2 linked regions of the Drosophila melanogaster genome follow. The protein of the gene in region 2 purifies or fractionates together with the protein of the main gene of each other region. This does not show direct contact. Each region holds a gene or a part of one and is shown on either strand. Other genes may lie near its edges.

Region 1 (9,716 bases), on a different chromosome or scaffold from region 2:
AGACTCCAATAGCGCCAATTATGCCACTACGAAGTCCCTCTGGCACCTGGTTTCGAAGTGATGAAGAAAGAGCCAGTGCTTTCGCTGACCATTTACAAAATGTATTCCGACCAAACCCCTCTACCAACACATTTATTCTCCCTCCTTTAATAGCAGCCAATCTAGATCCTCAAGAACCCTTTGAATTCCGACCATGTGAACTAGCAAAGGTTATCAAAGAGCAACTGAACCCAAGAAAATCGCCTGGCTACGACCTAATAACTCCAAGAATGCTCATTGAACTCCCAAAGTGTGCTATTCTTCACATCTGCCTGTTGTTCAACGCAATCGCCAAGCTTGGATACTTCCCTCAAAAATGGAAAAAGTCGACCATAGTAATGATTCCAAAGCCAGGAAAAGATAAAACGCAGCCATCATCATATAGACCGATAAGCTTACTAACATGTCTTTCAAAGCTGTTTGAAAAAATGCTACTCCTTCGGATTAGCCCTCATCTTAGAATAAACAACACACTTCCAACACATCAATTTGGCTTTAGAGAAAAACATGGAACCATCGAACAGGTCAACCGAATCACGTCAGAAATTCGTACTGCTTTTGAACATCGAGAATACTGCACAGCCATTTTTCTAGACGTCGCGCAGGCATTTGACAGAGTGTGGCTCGATGGACTTTTGTTTAAAATAATCAAGCTGTTGCCCCAAAACACACATAAGCTACTGAAGTCATACCTATATAACAGAGTGTTTGCAATAAGATGCGATACAAGCACTTCACGCGATTGCGCAATCGAAGCTGGAGTGCCGCAAGGCAGTGTACTGGGTCCAATCTTATACACCCTGTATACGGCGGATTTCCCCATAGACTACAATCTAACAACCTCCACGTTCGCTGATGATACCGCGATACTCAGTCGCTCGAAATGCCCAATAAAAGCCACGGCACTCCTATCCCGACACTTAACATCTGTAGAACGATGGCTTGCCGACTGGAGAATTTCAATAAATGTTCAAAAATGCAAGCAGGTTACCTTTACCTTAAACAAACAAACATGCCCACCACTGGTCTTGAATAACATATGCATTCCACAAGCCGACGAGGTAACATATCTGGGAGTTCATCTGGACAGGCGGCTCACTTGGCGCAAACATATAGAAGCCAAATCGAAACATCTTAAACTTAAAGCAAGGAACCTCCACTGGCTCATAAATGCTCGCTCTCCACTTAGTCTGGAGTTCAAAGCTCTTCTATACAACTCCGTCTTAAAACCTATCTGGACTTACGGCTCCGAGCTGTGGGGCAACGCATCCAGAAGTAACATAGACATTATTCAGCGAGCACAGTCAAGAATTCTGAGAATTATCACTGGAGCGCCGTGGTACCTTCGGAACGAAAACATACACAGAGACCTAAAAATCAAATTAGTAATCGAAGTAATAGCTGAGAAAAAAACGAAGTATAACGAAAAGCTGACCACCCATACAAATCCCCTCGCAAGAAAACTAATCCGAGTATGCAGTCAAAGCCGGCTGCACCGCAACGACCTCCCAGCCCAGCAATAAACTTATTAGGGCATTAATGAAAAAAAAAAACTATCACTAAGTGAAAGTTAATTAAGTTAGATTAAGATTTGAACACTTATTGTTAGTCTCTTAACACAAAGGGAAGATTCAATAAATAATAAAAATTAAAAAAAAAAAAAAAAAAAAAGAAATTTGCACTTTACTCATCTTGAGCCAAGTAGAAAAGATTTGACACAACGTACAAGTATACAAATTCGTATCAATCATACGCACTGTGGACTATTATTTAACTAGTTACCCTAGTGAATTTAAATACCCGAAGTTTGGAAGATACCAAAACAAAAGTACGTGGATACGTGTATGTGGGATGATAAAAAATGCATTTTTGGCAAGTGTGTGTGTGTGTGTTTAGCTGTTTGGGCACGCCCAAGTGGATCGTTTGGCCTGACACACATCCGACACCCTGCCCAAAATGGCGAGGGCTAGTCCCTAGAGTTCGTTGCCAATCGAGAGACACCGCAGACGTTCTGGAATCCGCCATTACGGCCAGTGCATAGGTGCCATTTGCCAGGCACTCCAAACTTCGCACACTTGCAGTCCACAAGCACGGCGGCTACACTTCTCACCTCACCGCAGTTCGAAGTCGATAGCCGCCACCATTTTGCATATAAAAGAGTGATCGCGTACGTGCCGCACTTCTCTCGTCTTTTCAACCACGATCCGGTCACGATCGGACCCAGACTTGTGCAACACGAACACTCACAGAGCTATTCCGGCCCAAAAGCCAATTGGCCAGAAAGCCAGAAAGGCAGAAAAGCAGAAAGCCAAACAGCCAAAAAGCCGGGCTTGCCAGTGATCAGCGATCGGCGATCGGCAATCAGTGGCTCAAAGCTTTTGTGGATCGCATTGGGCACTACCCCAGCAGAGCTTTCCAAAACCCACCACAGGTGCTCGAAAGAGACGTCGCCGCCGCCGCCGTGTAATAAAAGAAGCAATTTTGACTTCGTCTGGGGCTTTGGTGTCAGAGAGGGGTTCGAGAAATTGTGCGCGGCATCGTAGCAAACAGTGTAAATGGAGCTTTGATAGCGATCGGAAGGACAAGACTAGAGCTCCAAGAAGTGTTTTTTTACCCAAAGTGTGTTTGCCAGGAAAAAAGAAACATCGATATAAGACTCTAAAAAAGTGTGCAGCTAATACCAGCGATCGATCCAATCCCAACAGGTCCACCTAAAGATGGCAAAACTGTTTGTGGTTTTTGCCGTTTTGGCTCTGGCGGCCTTTAACGAAGGTAAGGTCTCCAATGAAACGCACATATTTTATGCCTCGCCGTAGTCATAAGTTTTAATTATCGAACTGCAATTTGCATTTGGCTGGCGGAAGTTGTTGCCAAGACATCAATTAAAACTGCTCGACGGCCTTCACAGAGAAACGGAAACAAGAAGGCTGGCAATTGAAAAGCCGTTTTCGAGATGCAGATGTGAGTGGAGTGGCGTGGCGTGTCGTAACCTTGATTATGCGAAAAGGACTCGTCCGGCTGTGACTAGTTGGTAAACAACTTTCGTTTTCCGAAGGGACAAACGATTGTTTACCTTGAGTCGCGTAGAAACCCATTCAGCTTGACACTTGAGCTCTGTGAATGCAGTTCTCTGAAACTCAATACGAATCTCAATCCGAGACCACTTGACTTTGACAGGCCATCGATCATGATTAGAGTCGCAGCATAAACATCGCCGTGTTGCTGTCCGTCAATTAACGGTTATGCAAATGCGGCAACTCCCTCGACTTCAAAAAATTCAAATTTAAACTGAGATTCAAATCCGAATCCGATTGCGATTTGAAAAATGCGCGACAAGTCGGCTGTTGCCAAGCGTCGCGAGATGCAAAATGTCAAAGTTAGAGCGCAGGCGCAGCAGCGAGTTTCTAAATTCGCTTTTCAGATTTCGGTTTTTATTTTTGCACCGACATTTATTTGTGTTTCTGCGCTCGGTTCTCTGGTGACATCGTATTTCATAATGCCAAACGTGTTTTTTTTTTTCGGCCAACACACCAAGCAACCAACCAGCCCGACCGCATGCCATGTCTATTTAGCCCGGCCAAATCCACTCGTATCTGTATCTCTGCAGCTGTAGCTGTATCTGTGTTTTTGTAACAGGAAGTGCCAGGCCATGGCGACATGGAACCAACCCAACCCAATCCAAGCCAACTCAATCCACACCCAACCCACATTCGCCGTGGAAATTCTTCCGGTTTTGCAACTCCAACTGCAATTGCATCCATTTATATTTCCATTTCCCTCGTTTCGACTTGCAGCCAGTGCCAGCGATCCGCTCCTGCGATACAAGCGACAGGCCACCACCGAGGAGACCAAGAAGGAGGAGTCCTTCGAGAAGGAGCTGTGCAAGGACAAGGACGCCGGCGAGTGGTTCCGCCTGGTGGCCGGCGAGGGCGACAATTGCCGCGACGTCATCCAATGTACCTCATCGGTAAGTTACAAACTATCTATAGTTGTTTGTAAATATAATTGTAGATACATGGAATGAAAGCTTATTAACATCACTTTTCATGAGGGATTACCATGTCTATCAATACAATATATCTTCATAAAATATACTTAATATTATTACTTTGTATTTATTTATTTTTAAACAGGGCCTGCAAGCCATCCGTTGCCCTGCTGGTCTGTACTTCGATATCGAGAAGCAGACTTGCGACTGGAAGGAGTCGGTGAAGAACTGCAAGTCCAAGAACAAGGAGCGCCGCGTGAAGCCCCTGCTCCATACGGATGAGCCCCTGTGCCAGGACGGATTCCTCGCCTGCGGCGATGGAAACTGCATTGAGCGCGGACTCTTCTGCAACGGCGAGAAGGATTGCTCGGATGGATCCGATGAGAACACCTGTGGTGAGTACTTTGAATAAATATTTTGTTTTTAAGGATTGCCTTAGGTTTTTAATAGCTTTTGGCACACCTTAGTCGAAGCACTTAACAGAAGTAATAAAAAGTGTAATTAGTATGCATTAGCCATTTTATGCATGATTTATAAAAAAATCCAAAAACTTAAATTGCAATAATTAGACATTAGGCCAACTATGGCCAAGGACCAATAAAATGGAATTACCAAAAATAATTGCCTCAATATTGGGGATAATGCGGGCTCGCTCCACTTTTTTTTTGTGAGCACTTTTTCATTTAAGTTTGACATTTGACAACAATAATTCAGTGTGATTCAGCAGAAATTGAGGAGGGCGTCAATAGAAGTAAGCCGCCGCCAAGTGTTGTTTATAGGATTGGCTTTCCCAAAAGCCCGAGGTTGAGTGCTATTACTCCATCGGCTCAAATGATATATGTAAGCCTTCAAGTGGCTCGTGATATGGGTGCACACTTTGTCAGATAATATGCCAATAGCATAAATAATTGATCTTATGTTTCCTTTCTTGATACATCCAAATCCGAATCCGAATCCAATATCTTTCTCTGGTCGAAATTTCTTTAGTTACTCCAGTCGCACCTTAAAACCGGTTGACGGCATTTAGGCATTACCTCAGCGAAGGAGGAACACTTCAAACTCCACTCTCGAAAGCACTGACACAACGGCACACAAGTGTCTGAATTTCGTGTTTCTTTCGGTTTTTGGAATTTGGAAGGGGTTTGGGGATTCCAATGACGGCCACATGCAATGGAACCCCGTCTGCAGCACAGATCCCACGAACCGGTTTCGCAAAGCCCTTTAGCTCCATCGTATCTCGGAGCCAGCTGAACCGCCGCACTCAGCTCGACGGGATCAGCTCCGATCTCGAATGGACAGCGATCTTTGGGTGGAAATGTCAAGTGTGAAGTGGAAACGAAATGTCAGACACGGCTGGTGGCCAGCTGGCTAAAACAGAGGGGGTTGGGGGAATTAAGGCAGTCATGTATGGAAAACATTAAATCATTAATTAGCAACATCGTAATAGCGCTAACCTTGGACTTAATAGAAATCAAATCGAAGCAAAACAAAATGCCGCTCCATAGGTGGTTTCGATTCATGTGTAAATTAGCCTTACATAAGCGGCTTAAGAGCCACGGTTATTTTTAGCAATTGCAGAAAGCCGCAAAAGCCGAGCCAAAAGCGGGCGAAAAATAAACACACAGTCATAAGCACCAAATAATAATACACTATAATAACAAAAGTAACCAAAGATTGATACAGCAGACCGCGCAAAATCGCAACTAATTCATAAAAATACTAATAACATGCCCAAACAGTGAGTGCCATAAGTTTACGCTCACTTCGTTCTTCTTGCACGAACGACATTTCTCAAGTGGCTAACCTGGCATATAAAGGCTGCCTCAACAAGCCAATTAAGTGCCAAATAAATCTGGCTAACTAGCTTCTGCTTCTGCTAGATTCACCACCTGCGATTGCGATCCGTAATGTATATATCTATCTATCTATCTATAAAATGCGAAAATTTGCACTTCTGCCTGACTTTTGAAATGCCCAGCCGAGCAGAAAGCCATGCCCGCGATCGCAAACAATTGAATAACTCCAGTCCAAGTTTAGACCACTTCGCCTTTGGGCCCAATGAGGAAGCTCACGTCTCCGGGAGGCGAAGCAAATGGCAGGCGATTAAAAGAGCGATTAACTGGTCATACATCGTAGTTTTAAAAAGAGCGACAAAGTAACGAGGAAAGTGCTCCGAAAAAATGTTGCCAAATAGTGTAGTTTTACTTGGGCAATAGCCATAAAGCCTATAACTCCACCACATGTGTATTCTCTTCAAGAGAATCCCATGTTTTTAGCTAACTTCAGATTAAAAGTGCATATGAGAATTGGCAACAAATGAGAATGACTTGTGCAAAATGATAAACTAATATCAAATCGATTCGAAAAGAAGTGTTCCAAGAATTCAATCAACACTTTTGATTAATGAATAGATTCAGCTACACATTACCGATTCTCGGAAGTACGTTAAGATCCCACCGAATTTAGCCAAAAACAAAATTCCCCACAATTATTTCTCGGCCACAATTCATCCCAATCTTGGCAAGCTCCTCTTCGGCAATAATGAGCCAGCTCACATACATTCGGCAATCTCCGCGGCAATCTCTGCAAAAATAAATAAAATGAGCAAAAGCCAAAAGCCCTAAAAAGTCAATAATGCCGGTGGATCTGGTGAATACCGAGTGAATACCGAATGCTGAATGCTGAATGCTGCTGAACCGGTCCGGGATGACATAACAGCCGTCTTTAACGACAGATTATTGGCCAATATTGGCAGAAAGGAGGGGAATGAAAGCGGAGCCACGGCGCAAAAAGGTCAACAAAGAGACAAAGCCGGCAAAATGGAAAACACGCAAAAAAAAAAACGAGTGAAAAACTTGATGGACAAAATGCTTTGGCCTTTACATGCCGTGCCTGCCATTTCACTTTGGCCAATACCAATACCAATTCCAAATGCCAAATGAGACAGCGGCAACAATAATTGCGGCTAATATCTTTGGAAACTTTCGCAATTGATTCCGTTTGACGAGCCGGCAAGTGCAAGGCTTACCAATTGGTAATTGAGTGGACCATCATTTGCATTTGGCCCGATAATCGAGCGCCATATTTTCGGGATGGGTGTGGTGTGGCTAATAAGCGAACGCTATCTGCATTTCAAAGCGGCTTCGCTTGATTAACAACACTTGAAAATTGCTCAAAACAAAGCCAAGAAAAATCCCAATAATAATAATAATGAAAGAAACATATGCCGATGAAAAACTCGCATTGTGCAGACATTTTCCATTCACTTTGCGTTTCGGTTTTCCCACCTCTCTTGATTGCTTTTCCAGACCACTTCGGTTCATTGAACCAACCCCGTACCCCCTGCCCGCCAAGCTTTATCCCCTCACCGTTGGCTAATTGCTTAAATATTTATATGAAAAGTTAAGTGAACTTTTGCCGGCCAGGTGAATGCAGGCAGAATATCAATTGTTGATTGGTTATTTGATGGGAAAAGATGACAGGCTGTTTATTGTAATGAATTTGTATTTTACAGGGTATCGATTATCTCTAGTTATATCCCTACATATATCTCTTGCTTACTTATTTTAAGAATGTGCTTTACACACCCCATTTATATGCAAGACTTCTCCTTCAATTCACTTCAGTTTGAGGAATCTTTCGTAATGTACCTTATGATTTCCTCGTCCTAACCCCATAATTTGTACCATTTTGCCCCGCCCACAGATATCGACAACGATCCCAACCGTGCCCCGCCCTGCGATCCCGCCGTGTGCGTCCTGCCCGATTGCTTCTGCTCGGAGGATGGTACATCGATTCCCGGCGACCTGCCCGCCAAGGATGTGCCCATGATGATCACCATCACGTTCGACGACGCCATCAACAACAACAACATCGAGCTGTACAAGGAGATCTTCAAGGATCGCAAGAACCCCAACGGCTGCTCCATCAAGGCCACCTACTTCGTGTCGCACAAGTACACCAACTACTCGGCGGTGCAGGAGACGGCACGCAAAGGACACGAGATCGCAGTGCACTCGATCACGCACAACGACGAGGAGCGCTTCTGGTCGAACGCCACCGTGGACGACTGGGCCAAGGAGATGGCCGGCATGAGGATCATTACGGAGAAGTTCGCCAACATTACGGATAACTCGGTGGTGGGCGTGCGTGCTCCCTACCTGCGCGTGGGCGGCAACAACCAGTTCACCATGATGGAGGAGCAGGCCTTCCTGTACGACTCCACCATCACCGCTCCGCTGTCGAACCCGCCACTATGGCCCTACACCATGTACTTCCGGATGCCCCACCGCTGCCACGGCAACCTGCAGAGCTGCCCCACCCGATCCCACGCCGTGTGGGAGATGGTGATGAACGAGCTGGACCGTCGCGAGGATCCCGTCAACGATGAGTACCTGCCCGGCTGCGCCATGGTGGACTCCTGCTCGAACATCCTGACCGGTGACCAGTTCTACAACTTCCTGAACCACAACTTCGACCGTCACTACGACCAGAACCGCGCTCCCCTGGGTCTGTACTTCCACGCCGCCTGGCTGAAGAACAATCCCGAGTTCCTCGACGCCTTCCTCTACTGGATCGACGAGATCCTGGCCAACCACAACGACGTGTACTTCGTGACCATGACCCAGGTGATCCAGTGGATGCAGAATCCACGCACCATCAGCGAGGTCAAGAACTTTGAGCCCTGGAGGGAGAAGTGCGTGGTCGAGGGCAAGCCCGCCTGCTGGGTGCCCAACACCTGCAAGCTGACCTCCAAGGAGGTTCCCGGGGAGACCATCAACCTGCAGACCTGCGTCCGATGCCCCAACAACTACCCATGGGTCAGCGATCCCACTGGCGATGGTTTCTTCTAAGTCAGCGATCTTAGCCCCATGCCCCCCTTGAGCCCCGAGCTCTAACCCAAACTCTAACCCAAACTTAACCCATACCTATCACACACCAAACCCTAAGCCCTAGCCCAACACAAACTCGATCGATTATCGCCCATTTGAATTTGAATTGCAAGACTTTTACGAGTGCACTCGTACTCTCTATTTGACTGATTTCGAGGATCAAGTCTTTGCTGTGTTACGGTTATGTTAAATCAAAAATGAAATGAAATTCGACATGAAGACAAAACAAAAGATATTCAAAACTGCAAGCCACAACATCCGAACTTGTGTTTACACTCTTTTTTGTAGTTTTACGTTAATTTGTATGTGTATATTTAAATAAAAGAAAAAAAATGAAATAAACGAAAAAACCACAAAAAATCAAGAAAAACCAAATACTGAATTTTTAATGCCGCCTGTCGTTTGTTTCAACCAGTCAAAATAACATTAAGTATTTAGTTACCAGCTAGCAACAGAAATATGATTTCTAAGAAGCCAAGAGAGGAGTAAAACATTGACAGCCCCGGCCCATTTAGTATGCCATCTACCCACTGACTTACTAACCAGTTTCTTCGGAATTAACGAATTTGAATAACAATAACGCGTTTCGGTGGGGCTCAGTTTCGGTTTCAGTTGGAGAATCCCCTCCTATGTGCATTTCATATGCAAATTTCGCCTATGCCGAGACAGGTTTTGGACACCCCAAAACGCCGATGGGCACCAAAGTGTCGGATCCGGTCTAGAATGAGATATATCGGTCTATATTATACGGCCATAAAGTATGAAAGGCTCCAAGATTCGCTAATTCGTATGCGCAC
Region 2 (7,831 bases):
AAGGGGCACTGCGATATATAGACGTTCGTACATAAATTATATACATATATCGCATTTGGACACTCCACGCGATTGCAGTGGAATTTTTGAAAGTAAAAGCTCCGTTTTCGAGGCGCAAACACGCGAGTAATTGAAAGGTTGTGCTAATTGCGAGCGGGAGTGGCAATCGTTTCATCGAATCGCTATCCCAAGGCCCTCTAGAGCATTATGTTTTGGTACTGGTAATACTTGCAATAGCAGCCATAGTTGTTGCACACTTACCACAGGCAATCCAGGCCAGGATCAGGACGCTGCACACTTGGAATCGCTGCATGTTTGGTGCCTGACATATAAAAACACATATGCGATATAAACAAATTATTTATGAATTAGGCGGAAATGCATGGGTGGTATTAAGTAGTGAAAAAGCACAAGCAAGGCACACACACGCACCGTAAAAAAAATATATATATATTCAAATGCGCGCAAAAAGTGGAATGGAGAAACTTGAAACTTCCGCTCCAAGATTGTACGTTTTAACGGTTACGCGTTCCAAACTCAACTGAAAAGATTTGTACCGCGCTCCAAGAAGAAGAAGAAGAAGCGGCCGAGCTGCGACTGCGCAGCGTTGACTCGCCAGCAAAGCCAAAGAGCCAAAAAAAAAACAAAAAAACAAAAAAAAGGCAAAATACAGTAGAAACGTGGTCGAAAAACCGAACATAACTGAAACCAAACCGAATCAAAAACAAAAAACCACACAAACGACACCACAGTTTTGCAAAACTTCGCTTTTTTCGTTTTTTTTTTCGATACCGCTTTGCCTTTGATTTTTTTTTTGGGGGCGGCAAAGGTGGGCGGTGGGTGGTGCTGTGTGTTGTCACAGCTGGCATTGTTGTTGCATTGTTGCATTGTTGCATTGTTGCTGGCTGGTGTTTAATGCAAAACGGGATTTGGGATTGCCAGTGCTGCCAATCCATCCAGATTCCAGCCACATCTTACGCTCTTAATTGCACATAACAGCCGCAATTTGGGAATATATGTTTGATACCAAACCATATACCAAATGTTATATCGCTCGAATCCATTTTCTCGCCACATCTTCCCAACTTGAGAGCCTATAACAGACGGAATTTATGGGATTTATTTTCGATCTGAGGACTTACAGTTCGGTGGTATTCGGAATACAAAGTTTCATATCAATCGCATCCCATTGCAGAAATCTCTAGTGCTTCTACATCTCTTATAATGTTGTATGCAATGAAGAATAAACTTCTATAGTACAGCGAAATGAAGAATAAACTTCTATAGTACAGCGAAATGTACTTTAGCTTCTACTGATTCCCAGTTGCAAGATTGTCGAGCTATGGCGAATTCAGCTGAAATTTAGGTTATCCACAAACAGTGGAAACACTGCATAAAATCAGATAAAACTTAGAACGCTATCTAAAAGGATGCATCCAGCATCCACGCTGTGCACAAGGTCGCTTTCGCTCCACACTGCCAATGATTTAGCTAGTTTCCTAGCTAGTTCGGGTCCATTTCCTGGCTTGAAAAAGAAAAACACGCCAAGGCGGAAATCGAGCTTCTCTGGCAACATGTGTGATTGAAAGTAAAAGGCAAAGCTCGCGCAGACCATAAGCTTCATTCATGATTGGGCCCCGTTTGCCGATTGCCGTTACATTGTTAACTATTGCAAAACTTTTGCTTTTGCTTTGCTTTGCTCGTGCTGCGGCGATTGCATAAGCACTCTTGCCTGCTTTTTGTGTTCATTTACATGTGTAAATGTGCGGTCCGCTTGGCCACTCGGCCAATTAAAGACTCTTTGCAACCGATGGAGGGACAAAGGGCTATGATGGATAATGGATGCACCGATCCCGCCCGTCCACGGCGATTATCCGATATTGCGTGTGGAGTGAAAGGTTTGATTGATTGGTCAATCGACCACTCAACCCCCCCCCCCCCCCCTCCCTTTTTTTGCTATTTCCCCACGAGATGCACACTAGTTTTGTATAGATTCGAAATACATAGTTTTTTTTAATTCGAGAAAGATCGGAGAATGGGAAGTGAGTTTGGGTGTCATGGGTTTACAGTCGGTTGAATGATTACTTAAATAAGGTACGTGAAAATTTCTTATCGTTTGGATTTTGCAGGCAAGTCAAGATGTTTATTAATAAATAACATATAGCATAGTCTAAAAGAGTATTTATACAGTAGGTATAATCGAAATACAAGGAAATATTTATGAGGAAGATAGAATGTATAGAAAAGATTTAGATTTGAAACTTGAGGTAGAAGTGAAATACAAGATTACAGGATTGAAATGCTTAAAAAAGGAGCATTTTAGGAATAATAAACTGTAGCGTAACAGTTCGCAAAACAATAAAACACGAACTAAATTGAAATTTTAAAGATAGAAAGAAAGAAATCAAGAAAAGAGAACGGAAAAGATTCAAGTTTGAAAATTTTAGGAGGACAAAAGTTTGTAAAGAGTGGGTTTCCTTATAGACAGAAAATTGGTTTTGGAATATGATAAGAAGTTAAGTAGAGTAACGTAGAGATGAGGGAAATTGAAATTTTAGGCGAAGATCACATAGGATAGCTGAAACAGTATATGGAATAGTAGTAGTCTTGGGATTGGGAAGATAGTTTATAGTAGATAGATAGATATAGATAGTTTATAAAAAATTCAGTTTATTCTTTTTGTATAATAATAAGGCGAAAGTCTGAAAGCGGGAAATATATACACAACAATTTGGCAGCGTTTGGTTGGGCACAGAAATGGAGATTTGGGTAGTTAGAAAAGTAGTTAGAAGTAGTCAGATATAGAGAAAGATAGTTAAGAAATAGATAGGTCAGAGTATTGAAGTTTAACTGCTACACATACGCTCTATAGGAAATGGGCTAGAACTACTAAATTTAAGTGACTAAGACGCGAATCTGTGTGTTGATTTGTTTCGAATTGTTTCGATTTGATTTGATTGATAATTTCTTTCAGTGTGCTTGTGTGTGCGTGTGCATGTGCATGAGTTGTGAGTGTGGATGTGATGAGGAGAAGTAGAAGCGACCGGAAGTGGCTTAGTCCTTCTTGTCGTCCACATCCTTGTACCAGTCCTCGCAGCCGGGCACATTCTCGGGAGCATCGCACATCTCGGTGGCATCGTTGTAGACCTCGCCCAGCTGGCAGCCCAGATCCCTGGGATCCTCGCCGTTCAGGCACACGTAGAACTTCTGGCAGTCGGTGGGATGCGGATACTTGGGGTGGGTCACCACCTGGCCGCGATCGTCGGTCTTTGGCTGATCCTTGGGGCACACGAAGCCGGTCTCGGAGGTTCCTGAAAGTACACACCACATGCCAGACCATTAGCCCACTCCGCCGCACGGCGACTCAATCGGTCCACTTACTCTGCTCCGGATTGCAGCCCTCGCGCTTAGCGGTATCCGGCCACACGCAGGTGCCCGAGTACTCGTCGAAGTGGAGGCCGACGGTGCACTTGGTCTCCAGGGCGTCGCCTTCGATGCAGTTGTAGAAGATGTTGCACACGGCGGGATCGGGATGCGCGAAGAAGCCGTTCTTGCGCGGGCAGTACTTGCTGGACTTCGGCTCCTCTGTGAAGGGGAAACCGAACAGGGTTAGTTCCTCCGTCTACCAAAGGAGCTACACAACTACATAACTTTTGGATAGCTCATTGTAGTGGTGTATTTGCTTTAAATATAGAGATGTCCAAAAGTATGCTACAAATTCATCCTTTCAACTGATGCTTTCATTAGTAAGCTAAATTTGAACTTAAGAGGCGAATTTAAATTTAACTCCCTACATAGTTAATGGTGATGTAATGATGTAATTGGAATAACCTGTTTAGCGCTCTGCCTTGACATAGTTTTCGTGACCATTCCCAAGGGGTCGGTAACAATAGCCTAGAAATAGAAATGGTGATGGGATGGGCTACTTACGGAGCTCAGTGCGGTCCTCGCAGTCCACATTGAAGGGCTGGTCGCACTTGTTGAACTTGCGGTTGAGTGGATCGAAGACCAGGCCATCGGGACAGAGCTTCGCCTTGGCCACTCCGTCGTCGCAGACGTAGAACTTGTCGCACTGCACCTCATCGGCGAACTGGCCATTGGGCTTCGGGCACTCGAAGTTGGCGGCGGACACGGCTGGTGTTGGGGTAAAACAAAGGAAAGAAACAAGCACTTCAGTCAACTGGTTTTCCCACTTTCACTTTCCTGGCGACCCCCAGTCGCACTCGAAAGTGTAACAGATCGAACGACGTTCGATTACCGATGGCAATTCCGCATTTGCGGTTTCCTGGTTGCCACCACTCCCGGTGGCCCAAGAAATGATCAGTGGTTTTCCATTGGAACAGGTTGCTATCGCTTGATACATTTGACCAGAATCCCACTGACTTCGGTAAGCTAGATATAGGTTAGTACTATTTACTCAACCAATGTGAAATCTCTTACTTGGGCGCCTAAAGGATAGCTATAAAAAATGTATACAATGCGAAAATCACTGCATACTTCTATACACCTTTGCATTCGCTATGCTGACAATATCTTCTACAACCGAAATTGGGAATTCAAACTACGCGAATTCTTTGGATTTCCGTAACACACCGGTAAGTGATTCGAAATGTCGAAATTTAAATGTCAGAGAAGGCTTCATACTCAGCATAATGCCAAGATTACGACGTTCGGTCCGGGTTCAATGCACTTCTCTTGCGGCCCAGAAGAGCCGTTTTCCACTTGGCCAACAAACTGCATGAGTTGCATAACCCCAGCGGCCCAGACAGCCAGACAGCATCTTGGGCTTGGCCAGCATTCCAGTTTTTCCAGACGGAAAACGGCCCTCCATCTCGATCTGCATGTGGCCTGTAGATCCGCAATCGCGACCAGATTCAACATTTGCGTCTGAGGCCCAGTCTTGCGAGACGGCTAAATATGATTAGCTACTTATGGCTCTTAGCTCTTAGCTACTTAGCTACTTAGCTGGCCAAAACACACAGCGGCAGCAGATCGAGATCGAGTCTTGATTTCGGTGTCAGTGTCAAAGTAATTAGCAACAATTTGCGACTCTGACTTGGCGGATGGGCTGGCACTGGCCAGTCAGTCGTCAGTCACTTGAACTGGGCACCACTGATCCATTGAACGATCCATTGATCCATTCCCACGGATCCATTGATTCACACTCACTTGTCGCCACACACAGGGTCACAGCAATGGCACATAAAAATAACTTCATTTTGGACTCGGGGTCTGAGAAAAAAAAAGCAGAGCAACGATCCTGGCAACTGGATACTTGAGCAACTAATCGCGACTCAAGCGCTGCGATGGTTAAACTAAACTAACAACGGAACGCCAAAGAGGCGCACTTTTCAAGACTTTTTACCGGCTCTGCTCGACGTCGCCGACGACGCGACGACGCCGTCGGCTGCGGCAGAGTGATGCCAATGGGCGGGGCCACTACCGCCCCCGCCACTGCCACTGCCACTACCATCACCACCACCACCACCACCACTACTACTACTACTACCACACGAAACCGAGCCAGGCCAAACGAGCTGCGGCTGGAGCTGGACTGGATATGGGAATGGAATGGAGCCGGGGCTCCAAAGGCGACGAAGAAAGGCGAGCCAGAGATGTAATGGCACAAAAACAAGAAAGTCCAGGGGCGAGGACCGGAAAACCGCTGGCCAGATGCCCTAGCTTAATGTGCACCACGCGAATTCTTCAGGCCGCGCATTGATCAACTGTGTTGAAGGCGTCACCTGTATCAGATGACTTGGAGATTACATCGAAATCTTGGAAGAATTAGGAAATGCTTCTATGTATTTGTAAGCGAACTCTTAAGAATACTCAAAGGCTATTAAAAAAAAAGAAAAACAATGTTATTTATCGTATAATTACAGTTTTAATGCCGCAAATTCTTTAGTGATCTTGATCTGCAGAGCCATCTAGCGGTCATTTATGCAGGTAGAGAAGATGTTAAATTGATTTCCATTAGCGTTTCAATTCAATTGTTTCGCTTAAAAATAAAATTATATGCTAAAAATGGGTGGTTCTTAGGCATATAGAGTAATAAATAGTTGACCCTGTGCAAAAATACAAAATTCCAGCTTGTAAGCCATCTGGTCAGCTGCACATTTCCGGGTATTGACCGTCAAATAACCAAATGCGATCGAGCGACCGATGGATGCGGTTCGAGTAGGGTATGCGTTCCCTGCGATCAGTGTGTCGATGTGACCAAAAAAGCAACACACACACACACACGAAAATGAACGTAAATAAATTCATATGCGTCAACGATCCCCGAATTCAGTTGGCTCGAATTGAGTTGGCCGGGTTGATGGTCCGCATGCAAATGGCTTACATCGATCGACCAAAAGGCCAGCCAAACAGGTACCATCCATTTGGCGACGAGTTGGAGTTGGAAGACCGTCCTTTCGTCCAAAGTGCCAGCCAAAAATTGAGACTTCAAGGCTGAAGAGGACACGCCATGGGCGTAGTTTCGGTCTGGATCTGTATCTTTAAATTATACTATATATACATTGCATATATGCAGACGGACGGATGAAAGACTTGGTAATGAGTAACACACCCAATTAGTTGGAAGGTAATGTCTTAAACGCCACTCCCGCAAATCAAAAATTTAGCATTATTACTTTTGGTAAAATAAGGTAAGATAATATACATTATATATGTATAATTGAAATAAGAGCACATTTTTATAAACTATCATTTAGAAATATTAAAATATGATGAAATTAACAAGAGCAAGTACTAATGTAATAAATGTATCTTACAAATTGAATGTTGTATATCTATTAGAAACATGGTGATCCATAGGAATCCAATGAAATGCCTGATACAATATAGAATTTCTAGTTTTGCCTGCTTGGGAACTGGTCTACAGGTGATTGGTGGGGGAGGGGAGGGGGGGGGGTTGGTTTGGTGTAGCCATTTCCGAGGAGCTACGCCCATGGGATGGAAAACTGTGTCATCCCGATGCTTCCAGCGGCCAAGCGGCGGAGCATGCCGGTAATATATGTACATAATATATGCATAAATATGCTAAGCGGCCACGCAATGACCCAAAAGCCGCTGTCCTTGGGAGATGCGATCGATCCGCTCCGATCGGAGTAGGAAAGAAATAAAAAATAATGAAAATATAATCAGCTATCGGAGATCGGAGATGCGGCCAAACCAGACGGGCTGGGAAACTAGTTTAGGTTGGCGGCGTGTAGTGGCTAATTAACAATACACTTTTACTCTCGCCCGATCCCATGTGGAAACCAGGTGGAGGTGGTTCTTGGAAGCCCGGCCAGACGTCTAAATCTGAAATTCAATTGGCAAATTAATTTGTAAACTAATCGCGCTGGCATCTCGACTTCGGTGCGACAGGTTTGGCCTGGCAATTAGCGCGGGGAAAAAGCGAAGATATTAAGTATCCGCTCATCGGTTTGCCAACTCCCGCCCATGTGCAAGATTTGTCGGCCTGGAGCAAAAAGTTGAGCAGTCGAAGATTTGGCAATTCAAGGTTTTTACTGCAGCATGGGGGATCATCGGAGCGATTCCAGTTCGAGTCCGGTTTATCAATGCGGTTACGAAACGAGCAACTCGGACTACAGTTTTTGGGTCGTCGAATGCTGGCATTTAAATTCAGATGTGCAGATGTGCAGATGCGCCAAATCGAATCGAAATAAAATCCCCAAAAGTTTCATGGGCGCTTTAACCCCATGAAAACCTCTTCCTTGGCACTTTGGATACGGTATCTTTCAGATACTTTCAGATACTTTCGGATACATTCAGATACGACCGAAGGCACGTACTACTGTTGGATTCGCTTTGCGCCCCG

Evidence for each region. Proteins that work in one complex are often made in the same cells at the same time.
Region 1: the proteins of obst-A (region 2) and serp purify together in Drosophila melanogaster (affinity purification with western blotting, with the first as the bait; one study listed by BioGRID). This does not show direct contact.

Annotation. Positions count from the first base shown.
Region 1 is NT_037436.4:19,700,515-19,710,230, reverse strand, and holds serp (serpentine), read left to right. Parts: upstream 1-2,215; 5' UTR 2,216-2,756; coding exon 2,757-2,811; intron 2,812-3,833; coding exon 3,834-4,006; intron 4,007-4,172; coding exon 4,173-4,422; intron 4,423-7,732; coding exon 7,733-8,880; 3' UTR 8,881-9,254; downstream 9,255-9,716.
Region 2 is NC_004354.4:20,237,365-20,245,195, reverse strand, and holds obst-A (obstructor-A), read right to left. Parts: upstream 5,342-7,831; 5' UTR 5,219-5,341; coding exon 5,170-5,218; intron 4,135-5,169; coding exon 3,931-4,134; intron 3,586-3,930; coding exon 3,382-3,585; intron 3,312-3,381; coding exon 3,055-3,311; 3' UTR 1,987-3,054; downstream 1-1,986. Other genes in the region: Peritrophin-A (peritrophin A), read right to left, coding at 262-313.